4 linked regions of the Saccharomyces cerevisiae S288C genome follow. The protein of the gene in region 4 interacts with the protein of the main gene of each other region in a biochemical or structural test. Each region holds a gene or a part of one and is shown on either strand. Other genes may lie near its edges.

Region 1 (5,867 bases), on a different chromosome or scaffold from region 4:
TGGCTAGGGCGCTAACGGAATGTGTTGATAAAATCCAACGAAATGAAATCGCATGTCTTGAGATCAATGACGATAAAGTAATTTCCTTGCAAATCCCGATTCAAAACGAGTTTGAAAAAATGCCAAACTTCAAACTGCAACCCGTGCTAAGAGGCTCATATTTGACGTCCATTTTGAACATGAAATTTTTAGAAAAATCATCATTGAGAATTGAAAGTCAAAATCGTCAAAACGATCAGGCTCAATTCAGTGATACCAATAATAACATATACAGGTTTGGCAATAATATTAATAGTACCGGCCACTGTGGAGCAGCAAATGTGGATGACGGGGACGACAATGAAAGCAATTACTACTGCGACGACAATGATGACCTTTTAAACTATGCGCTATTATTATTGGACGAGCCAAATAATATTATTAGCTCCCTCGAAACTTTTTCATACCAGGACGATATTGGCACTATCATATTGAAACATTTAGTCAGAAATATCCAGCCAAATATCCCTCTAAGGTCGTATCGCTATCTGATAACTGATTTATTAGATAACCCTTCTTCACTGGACGACCTTACTACAGAAACAAACTCATTGGAATCAAGCATACTGCGCTCTTGCGCATTGCATTTAATGTATTGGAGACATGCAAGAATAGTGATCCCACTAAGCTCCAAATACACGTATATTGTTTCACCCTTGGCTCCTATTCAAGGTTATACAATAGATGATTATAAAAGTACTTCACAAAATGATGGGAACGTGAAAAAAATGGACGATCGCGAAAATAATAAGAGTGGAAGCGACAGAGTACCACTAATTTATCAAAATTCGATGTTGTTCAGATCCAAATTCCCATCATTGCCCAGTTTACCCATTTTTTTAAGTTTGTTGTCCACGGACAAACCTCAAGCGTACAGTAACATAATCCCATCAAGGGAACATAAGCCAGTTTACCTGAACGCGTTAGCGTGGTTAATACAGTACGGGTATGTAACCCAATTATTGACTTTCATAAATATCCGAGTGGACAAACACATAAAAATGGCAGTAGATGAGGATCTAGAAAAGGAAGGCTTCCGTAAGACTAATACTGCTAGAAGGCCCAGCATGGACTACAAAAAAACTGATAAAAAGCTGGATGATGAAGATGGGCAAAGTAGAGATGCAAACGCCAGCGAAGCGTGTTCAGGAAAGAATGAAGGCATGCAGTCCAACGACAACAACAAAGATGTGGACGAAAAAGATAACGAAAATGATAGTCGTGTTGATGATCGTGATGACAATGAAATAGCTATTGCGGATGAAGAAGAAATACTACACTTCGAATACGATGATCCAGAAATGCAACATGACTATACTATAATTTTGGAACCTGAAAGAGCCACTGCGATTGAAAAAAGATGGCTTTATAGATGTATTTATGGTCAGCCTTCAGATATCCAGATTCTTTTTAACAAGTTGCTCAAGTACTTCAATGGAAAGGTCCCCATGGAATTGGTTATCATCAAAGAGGAAATTAGCAGACATGACCTAAAGAAATTGCTCAATGCTCTAGATAAGTATTTAATCGAGATACACCATTGGTAAATCTCTCTATTGTAACAAAATGTAAGTAAAAAAAAAAAAATCTACCAAAAATTAAAATATGTGTATATAAGAATAGACAAAAGGAAGAATATATAAAAGGAAAAAAACATTTCGAGTGACTTGTAATCAAAACTCGAAAGTATGTATTGTTATATTAGGAGACAAAGAAGGTAAAAGAAGGAAAGAAGGATGAAAACAATACCAAGTGAAAAAAAAAAAAAAGATCCAGAGAAAAAAATAGGGAGACGAAAAAGAAAACGAAACTGCACTTTTAAAGTTAACATCACCGCTGAATTACATACATCTTTTGCAGCTTTTACGACCAATCATTTTTAGTAATCTAAACTATAAGCTTTGTTATCTTCATTTATGTCACCAGTATCGTTTGATATGAATTCGTTCGCATGAACATGGGTACTGCCATGATTAGCAGCATGTGATTGGCTTACATTTATTGGAGGAGGGATCATGCTTCCATCTAACCCAGAAGGCGGAGGTGGTGACATGGGATAAACCATCATATATGGATGGTGATTTCCAGCAGAACCTTGAGAAGGATGCAATGGGCCCATTGGGCCCATATGGTATTGCATGGGGTGATAGTAATAAGGCTGGAAATAGTATGGTTTTGGAGGTACTTCATTGTATCCGTAGCTTGACCTCCTTGCATAGCGCTTTTTATATTGAGACTTATTACTGTTACTGTTGTTGTTGTTGTTGTTGTTGTTAGAGTTTCCTGCTGAGGAATTATTATATGTGGTAAAGGAATTAGCAGCATTATATCTACCAGATGATTCAGGAATTTCGGAAGGCAATTCGGAATTCTCATCACCACCATTAACACTTTCATTTTCAGAGTTCACACTCTTTGAAGAAGGGGATGACCAAGAATTGGGCATAGATTTACGCCTCAATGGCATCATTCCCTTCATAAACGTGGAGTAACTTGGGGGGAACATATCAAAATCACTGAGACTTGCTGCATTTGGTGGTGGAGGCCCCATGGGCATGGGCCCCATGGGCATGTATGGCATCATAGTTTCGCTTTCCTGCTGGGATCCGCCGCTCATTTTCCTGTACATGTTGATTGGTGGTGGTGCTAAGTTCAGTTCTGGCCCTGTAAATGTTTTGCCCGATCTGGTGCTAAAAAACTGATGATGGTTAAAGTTGCTGCCACCGTTCTTACCAGAGAACTTCCTGTTGTGACGACCACCTACCTCTTTATATTGAACATGCATTGTCTTATTCAAAAAAATTGCATGGTTTTCACTTTCCAAAGCAGCAGCAGCAGCTTCTTCGGTTTCATATTTAATAAACGCAAATATGTTTGTTGGCTTGAAGATTAAATTAATATCTTGGATTTTACCATGAGTGGAAAATCTTCTATTCAATTCCTCTCTGGTGGTTTCTTTGTCTAATTGACCCACGAAAATGGATCTTTTATCAATGGTGATCTCGGAATCTTTATCTTCGTCGTCATAAATACCATCGCTTGTCAATTTTTCCTCTGAATCACTACCATGCACATGTCCGCACTCCTCTTCTATAACGTCGCCATTCCTCCTTGAATCCTCTCTATTATTATTATTACTATTATTATTATCGTTGTTGTTACTACCATCGTTATTGATAATACCGTTGTTTTGATGGTATTTGGAACTTTTGAATTTGCTTTTGTGTAAAAGGTTATAATTTTTTGGGACGTTTATATTTTGTGCCCATTCGATGATCCAATTGGGATCAGTTCGTAAATTCGCATAAGCTCTGATTGCATCGTCTCTGTAAACGAATTGAACAAACCAAGAATTTGCCGAAGATATCGGATAAGTATATCTTCTCGTGTATTGATTATCAGTTCTATCAGGAACAATCTGTTCCAAACCACCAAATTTTTCACAAATTTGACTGATCTCGTTGAAATCAATACTTTGCTGGTTTTTCAAGTACAATGTCCTGTTCACTTTTGCAGGTTCACAACGCAACCTTCTGCCATTTAATAAAGTACCCTGAGCGCGGATCAGAGCATGTTTAGCATCATGATCGTTGTTGTATTGAACAAAAGCATAAGGTCTATTTGCGTTATCACGCAAAACTTTAACTCTAGCCAAATCACCGTATTTTTTGAAATTTTCAGTCACCGACAGACATAATTCGTCATCGGATAGGGCTGCTGCTAAGCTTGCCACGAAGATACAAGAAGATGGACGGCCTCTTGACTCAGTGGATGTGGAAGTGGTAGTGACTGTACCTCTACCAGTGCTTTCTTCATCCACATCGTCTTCAGGGTCTTGCAAAAAGTTGTCACTGTCAGTGTCTGAATCCTCACCATCATTCTGGTGATCTGACCCCAACGAAGATACTTCCGAAGGCAAAAATTGGTCTATATCCTCTCTGATAACCAGCTCAGAGTCGGCCTTTAGACCATTAGAGGGAGGATCACGAAGGGAATCCGCAGTGCTGATTTCGGTTTTCATGTTTCAACAAGCTAAAAAAGATAATATTTTTTTCTTTCTTTCTTCTTGAGCAGGCAAAAAACAAACAATAGAGAGTATGTATATAAATATATATAGGAATGCAATTAGATATTTTTTCTTCGTGATTTTCTAGTCCAAAATCGCCTTCTCCTTCTTGTTCTTTTATTGTTTTAACTAATTAAGGAAAACAACCAAGCACGAGAAAGGGAGAGAGAAAGGAAGAGAGAAAACAAATAAGAAATCCGACGAACTTATATACTATTTTCCTTGATCACAGCCGCCGAAACGTTAAGCGGGGATATAGAGTTTCATCGTGTTGTTTGCCACCCGTTATGGGCGGCTAATCAAACGGAATTTAGCTTAGTCCATGCCAAAAACGTCTTTAATCTACAGAAATCGTGTTGCATGATCCACAGTAAACGCACAGGAGGTTTTTTTTTTTCGGAGATAGGTCGTACTGCTTTTTCACTGGAGGAGAATGCAAGGGAAATGAGGCGGTGTTTACGACTGGCACATCTCGAGCCTTTCTTCGCGTCAGAGAGATGTGGGCCCCCGGAGCAAGGGGGTAACAACAGACCCTACACATTCAGTCAGCGCGCCACATCAACCAACGAATGAATTGTTTTGCAGGCACTGCTTCCTATAAGCAGTAGCTGCACAAATCCACTATGTCACAAGGAATACACAGAAAACAGTGAAGGGTCTATCTGATCTTACCTCCATACACATCCACATGTATAACTATACTAAATATGTAAAAGGAAAGTATATATTTCCAAGAAGTAGCCGCCCATGGCTATTAAAAAAATACAGCATCAAGATCTCCAAATTCATCGTCGAAATTGGTGTTGAACGGCTCATTGGAATAATCTCCGAACATGTTCTCCAGTGGGTCGTCAACCACGGCGGGTACTGGCTCCTTTTCCGTTGCAGTTGCATGAGGACTTTGCGAGGCAACTGTAGTCACTACTTGTTGCTGTTGCTGCAAATCTTGCTGCTGTTGCTGCTGCAAGCTGGCTTCGTCCTGTGCTTCACCTGCAGTTACTTCCTTCTGCCTGATACGCTCCTTGGCCTCGTGGTATTGCGCCAAAACATCCCTATAAGCATGCGTCCAGTAGTCCGCCGGCGCTTCGCGGAGATCTCCGCGGAGTTTACCCACCAGCGCAGGATCGTCACGATGTACGACCACGCCGTCCGGCTGGTACCTCAAATGACTATCTTGCTCGAAGACAGCATCTATCATATCCTTTGTGCTACGGCTTCCGTCCTCTGCCGCAGCTATAAGTTTTGTGTATTTAAGTGGCGTCAGAGGCTTTTCTTGCAACTCTGCCGCTTGTGTTTTCATTTCGTGTTGTTTTTGCATGAGATATCTTATTGTTTTTTCACTGAACAATCTGGACTTCTCAATTCTGTCGCACGGTACCGTGGTCAAACTCAGCATGTTAAATGCGTCGTTCGAGCTTATAAAGTTCTTCAAAAGGTTGGATCGGAACGATATCGTGTCGCTCTCGTCATGTATGATATTGCTGAGCTGTTCTGGTCTAAGTCGTACACGTTCGAAGTCCTGTCTTTGCTTATTAAGCTGTTGCTGCGCGTACGTAAGCGATCTGCCATTCATGCCGGCACTGGAGCCGCTGTATCCGTACTGATAGTTGTTTTCCTCCGCGAAGCTCGTCAACGACGGGATGTTATTGTTTATGGCGCCCATGCTGCCTACTCCCCCAACCTGTACCCCAGAGTAGTATTGTTGGCGCGAAGCCTTTCCATGGTGCGATCTTTTCTTCTTGATGACACCCATTATTTTACT
Region 2 (4,280 bases), on a different chromosome or scaffold from region 4:
ATCATCTGGTGTTGCTATCTAATTTAGGTAAGGCTTATTGCTGCGCGACGGGAAATGATCAAAAACAAGCTCAAGTATCCAAAGGACAATTCGGTATACCAACATTCTCACAATTCGATGAGTTTCCTCCCAATAATCAACTATTCGAAATTGAACTGCTGAACAAATTTAAGCATGAAGGAGAAGACGTTGTCCGCAAAAGAGAAATTAAAAAGATAGCTTGCGGGTCGTACCATACACTGGCAATAGATAAGACTGGTGAAATTTATGCCTTTGGCTGGAATAGGTTCGGCCAATTGGCACTACCTATTTCGTACAATCTAGAATATGTTTCTTTCCCAAGATCGGTAACGCATGCATTTAAACCGCATTTCCCGGGGATGACGAATTGGAAATGTGTGGATATTCATTGTGATGATGAAACATCGTTTGTGACCATTCGTAAGCCTGGCTCAACGTCAGACCATCATTATTTCGCGTTTGGTAATGGACTTTTTGGTGAATTGGGCAACAACACTTTCAAGAACTCGCAATGTGATCCCATAAAAATCAAGTCGGATGACAAGAAATTGACCAACTGGAGTTGCGGCTCTCATTGTGTGTTCACTGAAACTGAACAAGAAAACGAGGTCATTGCATGGGGTAATAACGACCATGGCCAACTAGGTATTGGAAAGAAAACTATGAAATGCGCTAAGCCAATGAACATTCCCGAAGTTCTCAAACCAGGACAAGACACGACAGATTTGGACTCAATTTATAACAGTAAATTACACTTAAAAAAGGAGCAACGTGTAGTCACCAATGGTAATAAAAGTTGCTTATACTGGCGGGTTTGAGAAACGAAAGAGCATAGAAGGAAAGTAGCGAGATTCGCGATGTTTTTTCAACCCTTATAATGATGCATGTATATATGGTATGTTTATTTATATATAGAACTCACGGTTACTTCTATCTTAACCATTTCAACACATAATAAATACCTATGATCAAGAGAATTAACGCGATCCAAAAGACTAGTTTATCTTTGAACACCCGTTTATTGATAGAGGTGATAGTTTGTTCCGAAACACCCAATGTTCTTAGGCCATTTGACATTCTATCTTGTACCTTGGATAAAATTTTGTTTTGTTCCACTATATTTTCGAATGATTGTTGGCCCATTTCTAGAATGTAATCTAATTGAGCGTTACCCCTTTCGAAAACAGACTGTTCCTTTTGTAGCCCTTGGTACAACGGTAGTCCCCCACCGTTGCTAGAGCCCTCTTTACCATTTGCACTCGCACCACCAACGTTCCTTTTATTCATGATGGTCTCTGATGTACTAAAGGGGTTATCGGAGTCCATAACATGCGATGCTCCTGAGCCAAACAACTGAGTTCTGGAATTATTTTCGTTGTAGGATTGTTTTAAATCCTTAAACTTGGCAGTAAAGTCGTGCAGATCCTGTGTTAAAGTTGCTAGTCGATTAGCGAACTTAGGATCAATTTCCTCTGCATTAGTATCTTCTTTATATCTGTTTAAATGTTCTGCATATTGCTTAACTGTTTTCTCCAGTGAGACCAGAGTTGCAGAGATGGACCCTTGTAAAGAAATAGGGGCGGTCACAGAATTCTTTTCAAACCTGGCCAACTCTTGTTGTAGTTGATTTTTTTGCTTCACAGCATGGTTGTAAAGAGCGTTCTATTTGATGGTAGTAGCAAAATACCCTGTTAGTATTACATCTTGTTTTAGCAATAATGAGAAAAGATGCCTCCGGCGATCAAACATACCATTCCCCCCTCAAATCAATATGATTAAGTCACGATAATATCTGCACTATTGCCGTGTTTCCTTCTCCATCGACAGCGTCGATCCTGTCTATTATAGCCAGCACACTGAAAATTTCAATGGCTGGCTTGTTGTTCGCGTCGCAACTTTTGATATTTATAAAAAGAGAGAAGGCATATCCAAAGGATAAGGTATTGTCTTTGTAAATCAATCAACCAAACCTCTACGGAATTTTGACCCTTGAAGCAGGGACTATTACACGAAAATGACTCCTTCCACCCCACCAAGGTCCAGAGGGACTAGGTACCTTGCGCAGCCTAGTGGCAATACTAGTTCTAGTGCCCTAATGCAAGGTCAAAAGACCCCCCAAAAGCCTTCACAGAACCTAGTCCCTGTCACTCCCTCAACAACTAAGTCTTTTAAAAATGCGCCATTATTAGCACCTCCCAATTCGAACATGGGTATGACCTCTCCATTTAATGGGCTTACGTCTCCTCAACGCTCGCCGTTTCCAAAATCTTCAGTGAAGAGGACACTATTCCAATTTGAAAGTCATGATAATGGAACAGTAAGGGAAGAGCAGGAACCATTGGGTCGTGTAAATAGGATATTGTTTCCCACGCAGCAAAATGTGGATATAGATGCAGCAGAAGAAGAAGAAGAAGGAGAAGTTCTTCTTCCCCCCAGCAGACCTACATCTGCCAGGCAGTTACATTTATCACTTGAAAGAGATGAGTTTGATCAGACACATAGAAAGAAGATTATTAAAGATGTACCTGGTACGCCCAGCGACAAGGTGATAACATTTGAATTGGCAAAAAATTGGAACAACAACTCTCCGAAAAATGACGCCAGGAGTCAAGAAAGTGAAGACGAGGAAGACATCATCATCAATCCAGTGCGGGTGGGTAAAAATCCCTTTGCATCAGATGAACTGGTCACTCAGGAAATTAGAAATGAACGTAAAAGGGCAATGTTGAGAGAAAACCCAGATATAGAAGACGTAATAACATATGTCAATAAGAAGGGAGAGGTGGTAGAGAAACGAAGGTTAACGGATGAAGAAAAGAGAAGATTCAAGCCAAAGGCATTGTTTCAATCTAGGGATCAAGAGCATTGAAGAAATGAAAAAAAAAAGTTTCTGGAACGATTATATTTTATTTACTTACTTATTCTACATTTATTTGCAAAGGGGCATTAACATCAACATTTTACATATTATAATATATACAGGATATTCTATATTACAACATTAACAGGATTTTTAACTTTTCCTTACCGTATTCTTTTATTCTGGTTTTCTGTCTTCAGAATAATAGCATATTTCATTGTAGTATTTCGTCAAAGCGAGTTAGGGGAGGATGACTACAAGAAAGACAGCTTCCTCTCTTCAGCTTTTAGGGAAAATCACAGGAACAAAAGCTGGAACTAAGCAAAAGAAGATGAATTTCATTAATGGACTGATATGGTTATATATGTGTGTGTGGATGGTACACGGAAAAGTGACGCAGAAGGATGAATTGAAATGGAATAAAGGATACTCGCTACCAAATTTGCTAGAAGTGACAGATCAGCAAAAAGAACTTTCACAATGGACTTTGGGTGACAAAGTAAAACTTGAAGAAGGGAGGTTTGTTTTAACTCCTGGAAAGAACACAAAGGGTTCACTTTGGTTGAAACCTGAATATTCAATAAAGGATGCAATGACAATAGAGTGGACGTTTAGAAGTTTCGGGTTCAGAGGCAGCACAAAGGGGGGTCTTGCATTTTGGCTGAAGCAAGGAAATGAGGGAGATAGTACCGAGTTATTTGGTGGAAGTTCGAAGAAGTTTAATGGTTTGATGATATTGTTACGATTAGACGATAAGTTGGGAGAGAGCGTGACAGCGTATTTGAATGACGGAACAAAAGATCTTGATATTGAATCCTCACCGTACTTTGCGTCATGTCTGTTCCAATACCAGGATTCCATGGTACCATCAACATTAAGATTGACTTACAATCCACTAGATAATCACTTGTTAAAGTTGCAAATGGACAACAGAGTGTGTTTCCAGACAAGGAAAGTTAAATTTATGGGCAGCAGCCCATTTAGGATTGGAACAAGTGCTATCAACGATGCATCCAAAGAATCGTTTGAAATCTTGAAAATGAAGCTTTATGACGGAGTTATAGAGGATTCGCTAATTCCTAACGTGAATCCTATGGGACAACCCAGAGTGGTTACTAAAGTGATCAATTCTCAAACTGGTGAAGAGAGTTTCAGGGAAAAGATGCCATTTTCTGATAAGGAAGAAAGTATAACGAGTAACGAGCTTTTCGAAAAGATGAACAAGTTGGAGGGGAAAATCATGGCAAATGATATCGATCCATTACTCCGCAAGATGAACAAGATTGTGGAGAATGAACGTGAACTGATTCAACGTTTAAGACCACTGTTAGATCTGAAGAAAACAGCCATAAGTGACGATAGTTTCCAAGATTTTCTTTCGATGAACGCAAACCTGGAC
Region 3 (5,303 bases), on a different chromosome or scaffold from region 4:
TAGCATTTGTAAAAATATCCATGTTTTTGTAGCTCGAGGAATACTATATAAAGGTGAACCTCCTCCTCAAAAATAGCCAACATTAACTTCAATACTTCATGTAATTTAATTTTTATAATCTGTTCAGTCAGCATATAAAAAATATAGAACAGAATCAAACGAACATCATAATTAATCTACCATGAAGTGCACTTTAGTTTCCACATTGTTTGCCATCACCAATATTCTAGTTGCACATGCACAAGTAAGCAACTCCTCAGACACGTTGGACGTACAATTTGCGAATAGTACGAACTCGTACATAGAAGGAAAATTTAATTCGACTGATGAAGCCTTCAACAGCAGCGCATCTTGGTCCTTAGCAGCTCAGCAGAAAAAGATATCTAATGCAGCTGTATATGATGTGGGTGGTTGGAATGGCTCATTGTATCGTTCCAATAGAAGCGCTGTTGCAGATCATCAACCCGGCAAAAAGCAAGATGCCGCTATTTCACAGATCAGTGATGGTCAAATCCAAGCCACTGCGTCTGGACCTGAGACTACCGCTGCTACTACCCCAAGTAGTACCGCAAATGTCTCTGTCTATGAAGGTGCTGGTATGAAGGTTGAATCCAAGAACATGGGTTATATAGTTGGAGTAGCAGCGCTATTATTTTTATAATTTGGCCTCCAAATGTAAAAATTGTACAATTAAGGACAATAGTATTTTCATTTTATAAAAAATATGTACATGTTAGAATTTTATAAGCCGAAAAAGCAGTCATTTTACCAGTTGTTTTATTCTTATCAGATGTCATATTCATGAAAACATAACACTGGCCTACACATTACACTGATTTTGTTCTTTAGGACAAGAAGTTTTCCAGAAAGAGTTTGCTGTCATTCACCACCAGTATATTATCATATACAGTATAAGGAGATGACATGAGTCGTGAGAAGTAGTCAGCGAACTTTATGAGAGCTCAAATACAAGGATTGGTAAAGCAATAGTAAGAATTGAGTAAAATTATTACACAACAGTTGGGATTTCGTTGTTGTGAAAGGTTATAATATTAGGTTTTCAAAAATATATTAAAAGCCACCCTCGAAGATACAATAATTCCAAAAAGGGTATCGATACTTTTACACAATATTATTCTATTACACTACTAGTCCTTGCGTTTCAGCTTCCTTTATTTTTGATGACTTTTTTTCAATCTTTACGTAATGTTCTTACACACCATGTGATAATACACTACTAATGTGACTACTAGTTGACGGATGATGATGTTCCTTATTACAGCAGTGTCAAGCCAAATGCATACATCGTATATTAATGTGCGCCACGTTTGACGTTTAAGTGTCACTGTGCTATTATAGAATAAAGAAAATGTTAGCGAGTATTTCATACAGTACTGAAGCCGAATTGAAGATAATTGAACGTTGCTGTGATAATTATTCATAGAAATATTACAGAGGATCGTATTAAATGTTTGGCAACTACCAATCATTATTGCATTGATCATAATCAATAATGAATGACAAATATAAGATGGGGAAGAAGTAATGATAATATTATGTAGAAATATCGATTCCCTTTTGTGAACTTCAAGATCTCCGAAGAGAACTTCTAGTATACTCTGTATACATAATATTGTAACATTGATTAACAATTGAATCTCAAAATTATCAAATTATTCACCCAATCTTCATTATTCACCAAATATTCCCAACTATCAGTAGTTCTTCTGGCAACTAATAAAATACTTAACCTATTCTATGTAGATATGAAGGGAACTGATAACAAATAGTAAGCGGATTTAGCTCAGTTGGGAGAGCGCCAGACTGAAGAAAAAACTTCGGTCAAGTTATCTGGAGGTCCTGTGTTCGATCCACAGAATTCGCATATTTTTTTAACGATTTAAAATCATTAGTTTATTTAATACTTATAGAAACTATCTTCCTCAAACAATTCTTCCCTATTAAATATACCAGATGGTAGAGTACCGCTTGCAATCAACTTGACCCCTTTCGAATATACCCTATCTGCATTTTCTGCATCCATTTTTTGATAATAATTTTGAAACGAACCTGTTTCTAATATTCTTGAAAATGTCCTTGGCACATCCTCTTCCGTAGCTGGGAAAAGTGCAGTTTCCAAGTGAAAATTTTCTGCTGAGTTAGGTAGTATAGAGAAAGAAATATTTGAAAGGGAGAGTTCGTTACCATAGCTTGTTTTGCATTCAGAACGTGAGCCTATCTCTGGTCTTAGATAATTCTGTTCCATTGATTTCTTCTCTATTGTTATATCATAATTTTCATGAGGTAATTCATTGATTTTTTTGAATGCTAATGAGCCTACTTTGAAAATATTCTCATGTTCAAAAGAGCGTGCCGGTTTCAGTTCGATTTGCTTCATATTAACAGAAAAACTACTTGAGTAAACTAAATCCTCCTTTTCTAAACACCCTTCCATACCTCTTGAAGATGAACTCGGATATTTCAGAGAGGAATCTGGACATTGATTTTTCAAAGCACCCAGTTTGTTCTGGATATGTTCAAGAGTCTCCACCCTTTTATTTGGCCTGAAGAACGGATCCTCATTTTCCTTCGAAGCTTCCATTGGTGTGGATTGACGAGATTTGATAGGCGAGATGGAGGCCCCAGAGTTCGGTGCACCTAGCGCCACTTTGGATCGCCTTTTCGAAGGTCTTGCATTTAAGCAACTTTCATTTAACGGCTGCGCCATTGATGGCATTTTTCTTTTTGTGCTGTTTTGTGAGGAATTGACACTCGACGGTGTTCTCACAGTTATTCGCTGAGATGACGCATAGTTAGAAGGTGATCTTCCTCTAATAATAAGAGGAGGCGTTTTCATTTCTTGCAAATACACAAACATCCCTTTTGATCCATTTTTTAAAGCCAGTTCATCATAAGGAATTCCGGGATTCTCCCCATGAAAGGTATCTGGATCTACCACTGCACCTAAAATTACATGCAAGCTAAAGTGTTTATTTTGTTGGGATGGTTTCTTCACGCTAATTGATGAAGCAAATTGAACTCTTTCATAACGGGCAACTTTCTGAATAGAATCTTCTGGATAGGAAAACAATAAAGAGTCCACTCCATATTCTTCATAATTAACGTGGTCTCTGTGCAAATAAAAAGTGGAATCGTATTTTTTCATTTTAGTGATATTTCGAACATTTGAAGCTTCTCTTATGATTTGATGTTTTGGCAAAGGGGAAGGCACCAACGGACATACTGAAGGACAAAATTGAGGACCTTTGTCGCGTTTCGCTGTATGCTGGACGAGATTGATTTCCGTGTCGTCGTCGTCATTCTTAGCTTTTATTTTGATAGCGAAATATTGCACTCTTAATCTGCTTTCTACTGAAGAGTCTTCAACGAGAAGATCAAAACTGCTCTTTAAAAAAGTATCCAAATCACAATTTGCCGTTTCAAACGTTGATACTAAGGTAAAATAATTTCTTTTATAACCTACCCACTCTTCATCAATATGGTCGAACCCTCTGTCAATTCTTGGAATAATTCGTAAATCTAGTGTTCTTCCGGTATGAGACTCAACGACTGGACAATAATCTCTCACTAATTCAAATGGAGGTCCCACTTTGAACTGTAGTGTTGATCTAGGGGCAATTTTTAGTTTCCTTTTGTCGAAATAATTCGAAGTGGTGCCATCTTCATTCAACTGCGTAAGGATAACAGGCGTATCCTCTTCCTGTTCTGTGCTTAATTCCCTCTCATATTTGGATACGAGATCATCCTGTAATACTGGATCTGTGTTTTCCATTTCATTCATTTTAAGCGCTTTTTATAATATTGTTATTTCTCTTTAATGAAAGGTTAGTAAACTTTCAATTTTTTGCTTAAATAGGTGACACAAAATGGAGGGCAATTATAAGGGACCTTGGCTTTTCGAAACAAAAGACAACCGTTCTGGAGCTTTGTCAGAGAGCTGGGCGGTTGTATAGAGGACAGGCCTCGAGATATTTGAGATCTCGTTTTCTACTCTTTTGTGTCATACGGCCTGGCCGATTTTCTGACACTTTGCCCTCCAAGCCGCACCTGAAGCAGAAAACGTCAAATAGCCGCGGAAGTAACAATGTAAAGTCACATATACAGTAATAGGAATGAAACACTATGTATATTCAAGGACCTTTATAGTTCTATAATATAACGCTATCTATTACACAAACTTGAGATTGAAAATCTCACAGGGCGATAGATTCATTGTTGTGCCTTGTTTTCGAATAAAAAAAAGTAGATACAAAGTGCGATTTATGTCAGCTTGGAGCGCTTGATGGATAAAGCATAAACGTCCAGGTACTCAGTAAATTCATGGATAATGTCATTCATAAACATAATGTGAACACCTAGTGAGAGACCGAACCCAAGCCAAGATAGGGCAAAGACGATTTTATTAGACTCAATTCCCCAAAGGGATAGACATATTTTGTACAATACTATCTGGCACAAAGGAATTAACATGGGTGCATTGAACATGGGAAAGCTCTGCTTAGTTAAATGGCAAACGATTATTCTTCCGACGGTAAATGCTCCCGTGAAACCAACGGAAAGGATGAAAGAGAGTGTAATAAAGCTTGGTTGCATCCACACTAGTAAAGCAATGCTTGCATAATAGGCAAAAAAGGGCAAAAGACCTTTTATAGCACTATCTTGCTCAATTTGCGTGATATTGTTGGCCGAAGAAGTGCTGTTTCTATAATACTTATCCACGTTTCTTTTCGCAGACAATGCGTTCATAACCAAACCGAAAACAGCTAGGGAAAAAACAATATCTAGAGTGTCTACATCAATTACCTTATCACCAACTGTAATTGTAAATAAGTAGGTATGCCAGATTACCTGTTTTCCGTATATACCTGTCAGTATCAATGAAACGCAAACAATCAGGATGCCTTCCACGGGTCCAGAAAACTCACTTAAGTATAATGTGTGTGTATGGTACTCTTCCCAAGTACTTAAGTAAAAATTCGTCAGCATCGCAAATTGGGATAACATTAAGTTATACGAAAATCCCATTCCAGTTTCGGATGCGAAGATGAAAATAGACAGAGTAGAATTAATGGCATCAATACTATGATCGAATAGTTCTCCTAAGGGTCCTGATTGATTGATACGGCGAGCGTGTACACCATCACATCCATCGAACGTTTGATATAGGAATACACCTAAAGCGTAAGAAAAATATGTCCAGCGAGGCGTATCTGTGTTAAGGTTTGGATCGTAATAGAATACAGTCAACACGTTGATAACTATAAAAGCAAATCCTGATAATG
Region 4 (5,638 bases):
TTTACCCAATCGCCACCAAAGGCATACGGAGTGACCATAGCGGAACAAAATGCATATAAAAGAACACACATCCAAGGTGGATATAGATTCGTGTCAGCCAAAATTTGATCGAGTAAAGCATTACCTTCATCGGCACCTAAGGTATCATGGACAACTCTTTTGTAAACGGCATGAACTTGATGCAGCTTCCAAAGGTTTAGACCTTGAGTACACCTAACCAATTGAACTTCGGAAGTTCTTGTTGTTGCATCACCAAATGAAACAATCATACAACCTGGAAGATACAAAACTGACCATCTATTTCAAGGACTCTAGAAGTCATAACCATATATTCTTCAAGCCTATGCGTCGGAGCACCATACATCATAAGAGCTCTACACATGCGTAGGATGAACCGGTGTCTTTGTAAAATGTCTGCAATGTGAACCGTAATTTTCGCTTCAGTTTTTAGTCTTTTCTTCAGTCTAGGCATTCTGCCTTTTTTAGCCTTGCCTTTTAAATTTTGTAATCTGCTACGCTTGGCAACTGGTACGTCTTTGTTTCCAGCAGTAGAAGAAATACCTTCATCATCTGTTGTTACAGCTTGTGAATCTGAAAAGATTGAGCTTGAATTTTGATCTTCATTTTGGTAAAGTTTCAATAATGACCCTAGTACTCCACTTTTCACTTGAGATGGAGGGGGTACGTATGTGGAGGTTTCAATAAACCCTTCGTTATCGTCGGATGAATTGTTTTCTGCATAATCATCAAAATGATCCACTGCAGGAGCCAGAAATGAATTTTTTGAACTTGAGCCTAACGTTTCGCCATCCGACGTACAATTTACGTCACCTTCTAATTTGAGAGCCTCCAGTTTTTCTTTATCGTCGCCCTCATGAACGTCTACGATTTTAGACGCATCAGCTAGATCGGATAAGGGAATTTCTTCATTACGGTTATTTTTTTCTATATCATTCTTCCCATTTTCATTTTCTGAAGGTATTGGTGCCAAGCCAGGGACCAAACCCCCTTGATTTCCAGTCAGGTTATTTATTATCTTCTTGATGAACGTCTCATCGTCTCCATCCTTACCATTGTTCCTTAAATGTGTGAAAGAAACTTTAGGCTTCCTCTTGTGGCGAGCAGGCCTATCTTCTTCATCTTGTCCATCTGTGCCCTTAGAATTATCGCTGGTTTCTGTAGATCTTGAAGACAAATCATTTTCTAGAGCATCCGTATCAGCAGTGAATCTTACATTTTTGTTATCATTATTAGAAATACCTAGATCACTGATGCTTTTACCACTTAAATTGCCTTTTTTGCTCTCGGCTGAATTGGAAGTGCGATGGTCACTACTATCTTCAAGATTCACTCCCGCTTGACTTTGCTCGGAGCTTCCCACCCGAAAATCTGACACAGGAGTGGTTGGTTTTTCATTTCTACCGTCCATTGTATAGCCTATCGGTTATTCGATCTTTTTTCTTTTGTTATTCTATATCTAAAAGATAAAAGTCGCACACCGCTAAGTAAGTAAGTAAGTGTTATATAAGATTTATTTAGCTACGTTCTCAGATATAGTAGGCTTAAAACAAACGTAAAACATAGTTATATATTAATATGCAATTCGGTTTATTTCTTTTTCAAGATTCTTCCGAATTTCGTCATATTGGGTTCGCAATTTTTGGCGATGGCTTTGCTTCGATATTTTTCGGATGAAAATAGTCAAAGGACACTAGAAACACGAATGGCGCGCTGATTACGGAGACGTCGGGCTAAGACAAAGAGGGTCCATTCGGCGTGCTGGTGGTACTGTGACAGATAAACCCAATGCCCCACTTTTCTCGAGGAGTTGAAACAAGCGGGACAACTGCTACGTCATAAAAATGGGAGTACCAAGGGAGGAGCCATAAGCCGGGTAAAATTTGGCGCTGTTTTTCTTAATCTAAAAATAGTTCAACAATAAAATTTGGGCTCCGCCCATCCAGACCAAAGCAATCTTCGGCCTTAACAAGCCAAAGGGAACGAAACCCAGACTCTACCATGCATTTCGAACATGTTGTAGCTAACTACACTGGTAACCCAGATACCTATTCTCTCAGTAGCTGTTTCACCAAGACTCCGCACTCATGGTAAGTAGAAAAAGAAAACTCTCACAAAAATCTGAGTGGCACAGCTTTTCCAAATACGCTTTTTAAACTTGGAGAAATAAAGATGTATTACCCGCTGGTGCCTTAAAATATCCTTTTCTCCGGTTGTCCAATAATTTATGTTACGGCGGCTATTTGAGTTTTTGTGGAAATCTCTATCATTAATAAATGTCAGCCTTGTGTCTTAAATGCAATTCAACAGGGAAAAGGCGCGAGACTTCGGCGGCAAAAAGCCACAGACAAGTGCTGGTTGCAAAGAGGTAAAGAAGTAATGTGTGTAATCAAATAGATATATTAAGGTAGCAACTCACCGGTCTGTCCATTTTCTTTTCCTGAATAACTTCTTCTGTCTTCACACATTCATTTCATTTTTATTTTCCAATATCACTCAACGAGAAAGAAGTTACAAGATCTATCTTTCAAAATAGTTTACAGTTACCTTTACTTTACCCTTTCCCTTTTCAGTTTGTTACCCCTTCTCCTAAAAGTTTTATTTTTTGGGTAAAGATATAAAGGACACTCCAGTCGGTTAAGGTGGCTGTCTAGAGAATATAAACCTGTATTTATTTACCAGGCTTATCAGAAAAGTTAATCGTGTTCTTAAATATTCATTGAAAAGGAACGTGATACAGACGTAATAAAAGAAGAGTACTAAGCTTAACTTAATAGGTCATTTATGGTTGAAAAACGTAGTAGACAGAGTTCCAGTAGTGGCTCAGAGTTCAGTGTTCCACCTGATGTCGATAACCCGCCACTTTCTATCCCTTTGAAGACTTTATCAGACAGATATCAGCTGATCGAAAAACTAGGTGCAGGATCATTTGGTTGTGTAACTTTAGCCAAAGCGCAATTTCCTTTATCGAACATATTGGGTAAACAACATGATATAAGGGGTACTTTAATGGATCAGCCTAAAAATGGTCACCAAAACTATATAACAAAGACACAAGGTGTAGTGGCTATAAAGACAATGATGACAAAACTGCATACACTCCAGGATTATACGAGGGTCAGAGAAATTAAGTTCATACTGGCAATCCCAGCGAATGACCATCTGATACAAATTTTTGAGGTCTTTATTGACTCTGAAAATTACCAATTACATATCGTAATGGAATGTATGGAGCAAAACCTATATCAAATGATGAAACATAGAAGGCGCCGAGTTTTTTCGATTCCTTCTTTGAAATCTATTCTATCGCAGATACTGGCTGGGTTAAAACACATCCACGAACATAATTTCTTCCACAGAGATTTAAAACCTGAAAATATTCTTATCACACCAAGTACCCAGTATTTTGAAAAGGAGTACATGAACCAGATTGGATATCAAGATAACTATGTCATTAAACTTGCAGATTTTGGTTTGGCACGCCATGTTGAAAATAAAAACCCGTATACGGCCTACGTTTCCACAAGATGGTATAGATCGCCTGAAATATTATTAAGAAGTGGTTACTATTCCAAACCTTTGGATATTTGGGCATTCGGGTGCGTGGCGGTGGAAGTTACTGTATTCAGAGCTCTCTTCCCCGGTGCTAACGAAATCGATCAGATATGGAAAATTTTAGAAGTTCTTGGTACACCTATCAAACGTTCTGATTTTGTTAATACAAACCACATCACAGCTCCACCACCTGGTGGATTTTGGGATGATGCCAGTAATTTGGTCCATAAATTAAACTTGAAATTGCCTTATGTAGAAGGTTCATCGTTGGATCATCTACTTTCTAGCTCCCAACTATCCGATTTATCTGAGGTTGTCAAAAAGTGTTTAAGATGGGATCCTAATGAAAGGGCAACAGCCCAAGAGCTTTGTGAAATGCCATTTTTTGAAAACACCGTGGCATCCCAAGTAGACGCAAGAGGCAATGTGACTAATACAGAACAAGCATTGATTTTTGCAGGTATAAATCCAGTAGCGACCAACACAAAGCCCATATATTTTAACTCTTCAACAAAATTGCCCGCAGAAACAGAGTCTAATGATATTGATATCAGCAACAACGATCACGATTCTCATGCTATGTGCTCACCAACATTAAATCAAGAAAAACTAACTTTGGTAGAATTTTTAAACGAATTCGTTGAAGAAGATAATGATGATCACTCAATACCTGATGTTGGAACAGATTCTACCATTTCAGATTCTATTGATGAGACTGAATTATCAAAAGAAATTCGTAATAATTTGGCCCTTTGTCAACTACCAGATGAAGAAGTCTTAGATCATTCATTATCGAATATTAGGCAGTTGACAAATGATATTGAAATTATAAATAAAGATGAAGCAGACAACATGGAACAGCTATTTTTTGACCTGGAAATTCCTGAAAAGGATGAGTTTCAGAGAAAACAACCATTTAATGAACATGCAGATATTGATGAAGACATCGTTCTACCATATGTGAACAACTCAAATTACACACATACAGATAGGTCACATCATAGAGGTGATAATGTTTTGGGTGATGCCTCTTTAGGCGATTCGTTTAATTCAATGCCAGATTTTACTCCAAGAAATTTCTTGATACCTACATTAAAAAAATCACGGGAAAAGTTCGAGCCTCATCTATCCAATTCAAACCAACATTTTGGAAATGTAACCTTCTAATAATTTGTCATTTGACTGACGAATCGTTAGGCACAGTTATATAGTTATATACACATAGACATACATATGTTCGCATATATATTATATTACTATGCATTCACCTAAATAGCTACTGCTCTATTAATACAGTGCTTTTTCGATGGCTTTAATTTAACTTATTAGACATTACTTTGCGTTTATTCCCCTCCAATATATTTTTATGTTTGTTTTTCTTGAACATTTTATGATTTCTTGCTCTTGGCGGCTACTGATTTTGTTAAGCAACTCATCAAGAGGTCAAAAAAAGTAGAACGAGATCTTTGTGTTCGGTTACCCGGCTCAGATCCTAACTTGGTATGTTTATTCGTATAAGTTACTGTTGTCCACAGGCAATACTCTGCAGAAAATTAAAACGGCATTAATGCTAGGACAACCAGAACTGTTACTACTGTATGTGCGATAGTTGATAACTGCAACATTATGCCCGGTATATTCTCAAAAAACCCTATTACTGCATACGAAGAAATCGCAAGAGAAATCTTTCGGTTTGGAAAAGCTCACTGTGAGGTTCCTTGGAGCCAATAGTAATACAGCACAATCCAAGGAAAAATCTGGCCTATATGCAAGGAAGGAGAGATAGTCAAAAGCATTCTTTCCCCTAGAAGTTGGTGCATATATGGCATCGTTAAAACATATTACCCCCAAAATTTCTTCTCTAAACGATGTGCTTGGCCTTTGTTTTGGTTTTTGATGTCGGTCGTTTGAGGCCCCTTGCGGAAAATCGAGATCGCCGAATGGCACGCGAGGGAAGGGAAATAAGGTTTAAAGGCACTGAAACAATAGGCAAGAAGTAGGCGAGAGCCGACATACGAGACTAATGTGTCCGCGTTTCTAAGGCCACTTTTCAATGAAACGGATA

The links.
Region 1: of the proteins of IME2 (region 4) and RIM4, one has a biochemical effect on the other in vitro, tested with the Saccharomyces cerevisiae proteins (2 studies listed by BioGRID).
Region 2: of the proteins of IME2 (region 4) and SIC1, one has a biochemical effect on the other in vitro, tested with the Saccharomyces cerevisiae proteins (2 studies listed by BioGRID).
Region 3: of the proteins of IME2 (region 4) and NDT80, one has a biochemical effect on the other in vitro, tested with the Saccharomyces cerevisiae proteins (4 studies listed by BioGRID).

Annotation. Positions count from the first base shown.
Region 1 is NC_001140.6:54,842-60,708, reverse strand, and holds RIM4 (Rim4p), read right to left. Parts: upstream 4,061-5,867; coding exon 1,919-4,060; downstream 1-1,918. Other genes in the region: NPR3 (Npr3p), read left to right, coding at 1-1,586; SNF6 (Snf6p), read right to left, coding at 4,860-5,858. UniProt on the Saccharomyces cerevisiae protein: Positive regulator of sporulation-specific genes and of sporulation. Required for premeiotic DNA synthesis and meiotic chromosomal segregation. May act in a nutritional signaling pathway.
Region 2 is NC_001144.5:284,785-289,064, forward strand, and holds SIC1 (cyclin-dependent protein serine/threonine kinase inhibiting protein SIC1), read left to right. Parts: upstream 1-2,035; coding exon 2,036-2,890; downstream 2,891-4,280. Other genes in the region: FMP25 (Fmp25p), read left to right, coding at 1-839; BOS1 (Bos1p), read right to left, coding at 952-1,683, 1,773-1,775; EMP46 (Emp46p), read left to right, coding at 3,132-4,280. UniProt on the Saccharomyces cerevisiae protein: Substrate and inhibitor of the cyclin-dependent protein kinase CDC28. Its activity could be important for faithful segregation of chromosomes to daughter cells. It acts in response to a signal from a post-start checkpoint.
Region 3 is NC_001140.6:355,060-360,362, reverse strand, and holds NDT80 (transcription factor NDT80), read right to left. Parts: upstream 3,803-5,303; coding exon 1,919-3,802; downstream 1-1,918. Other genes in the region: ANS1 (Ans1p), read left to right, coding at 182-661; YHR125W (uncharacterized protein), read right to left, coding at 1,200-1,505; EPT1 (bifunctional diacylglycerol cholinephosphotransferase/ethanolaminephosphotransferase), read right to left, coding at 4,282-5,303. UniProt on the Saccharomyces cerevisiae protein: Transcription factor required for successful completion of meiosis and spore formation. Gets activated after completion of meiotic recombination at the end of prophase I.
Region 4 is NC_001142.9:218,588-224,225, forward strand, and holds IME2 (protein kinase IME2), read left to right. Parts: upstream 1-2,802; coding exon 2,803-4,740; downstream 4,741-5,638. Other genes in the region: pheromone-regulated protein PRM10, read right to left, coding at 1-269; YJL107C (uncharacterized protein), read right to left, coding at 266-1,429. UniProt on the Saccharomyces cerevisiae protein: Protein kinase which is essential for the initiation of meiosis and sporulation.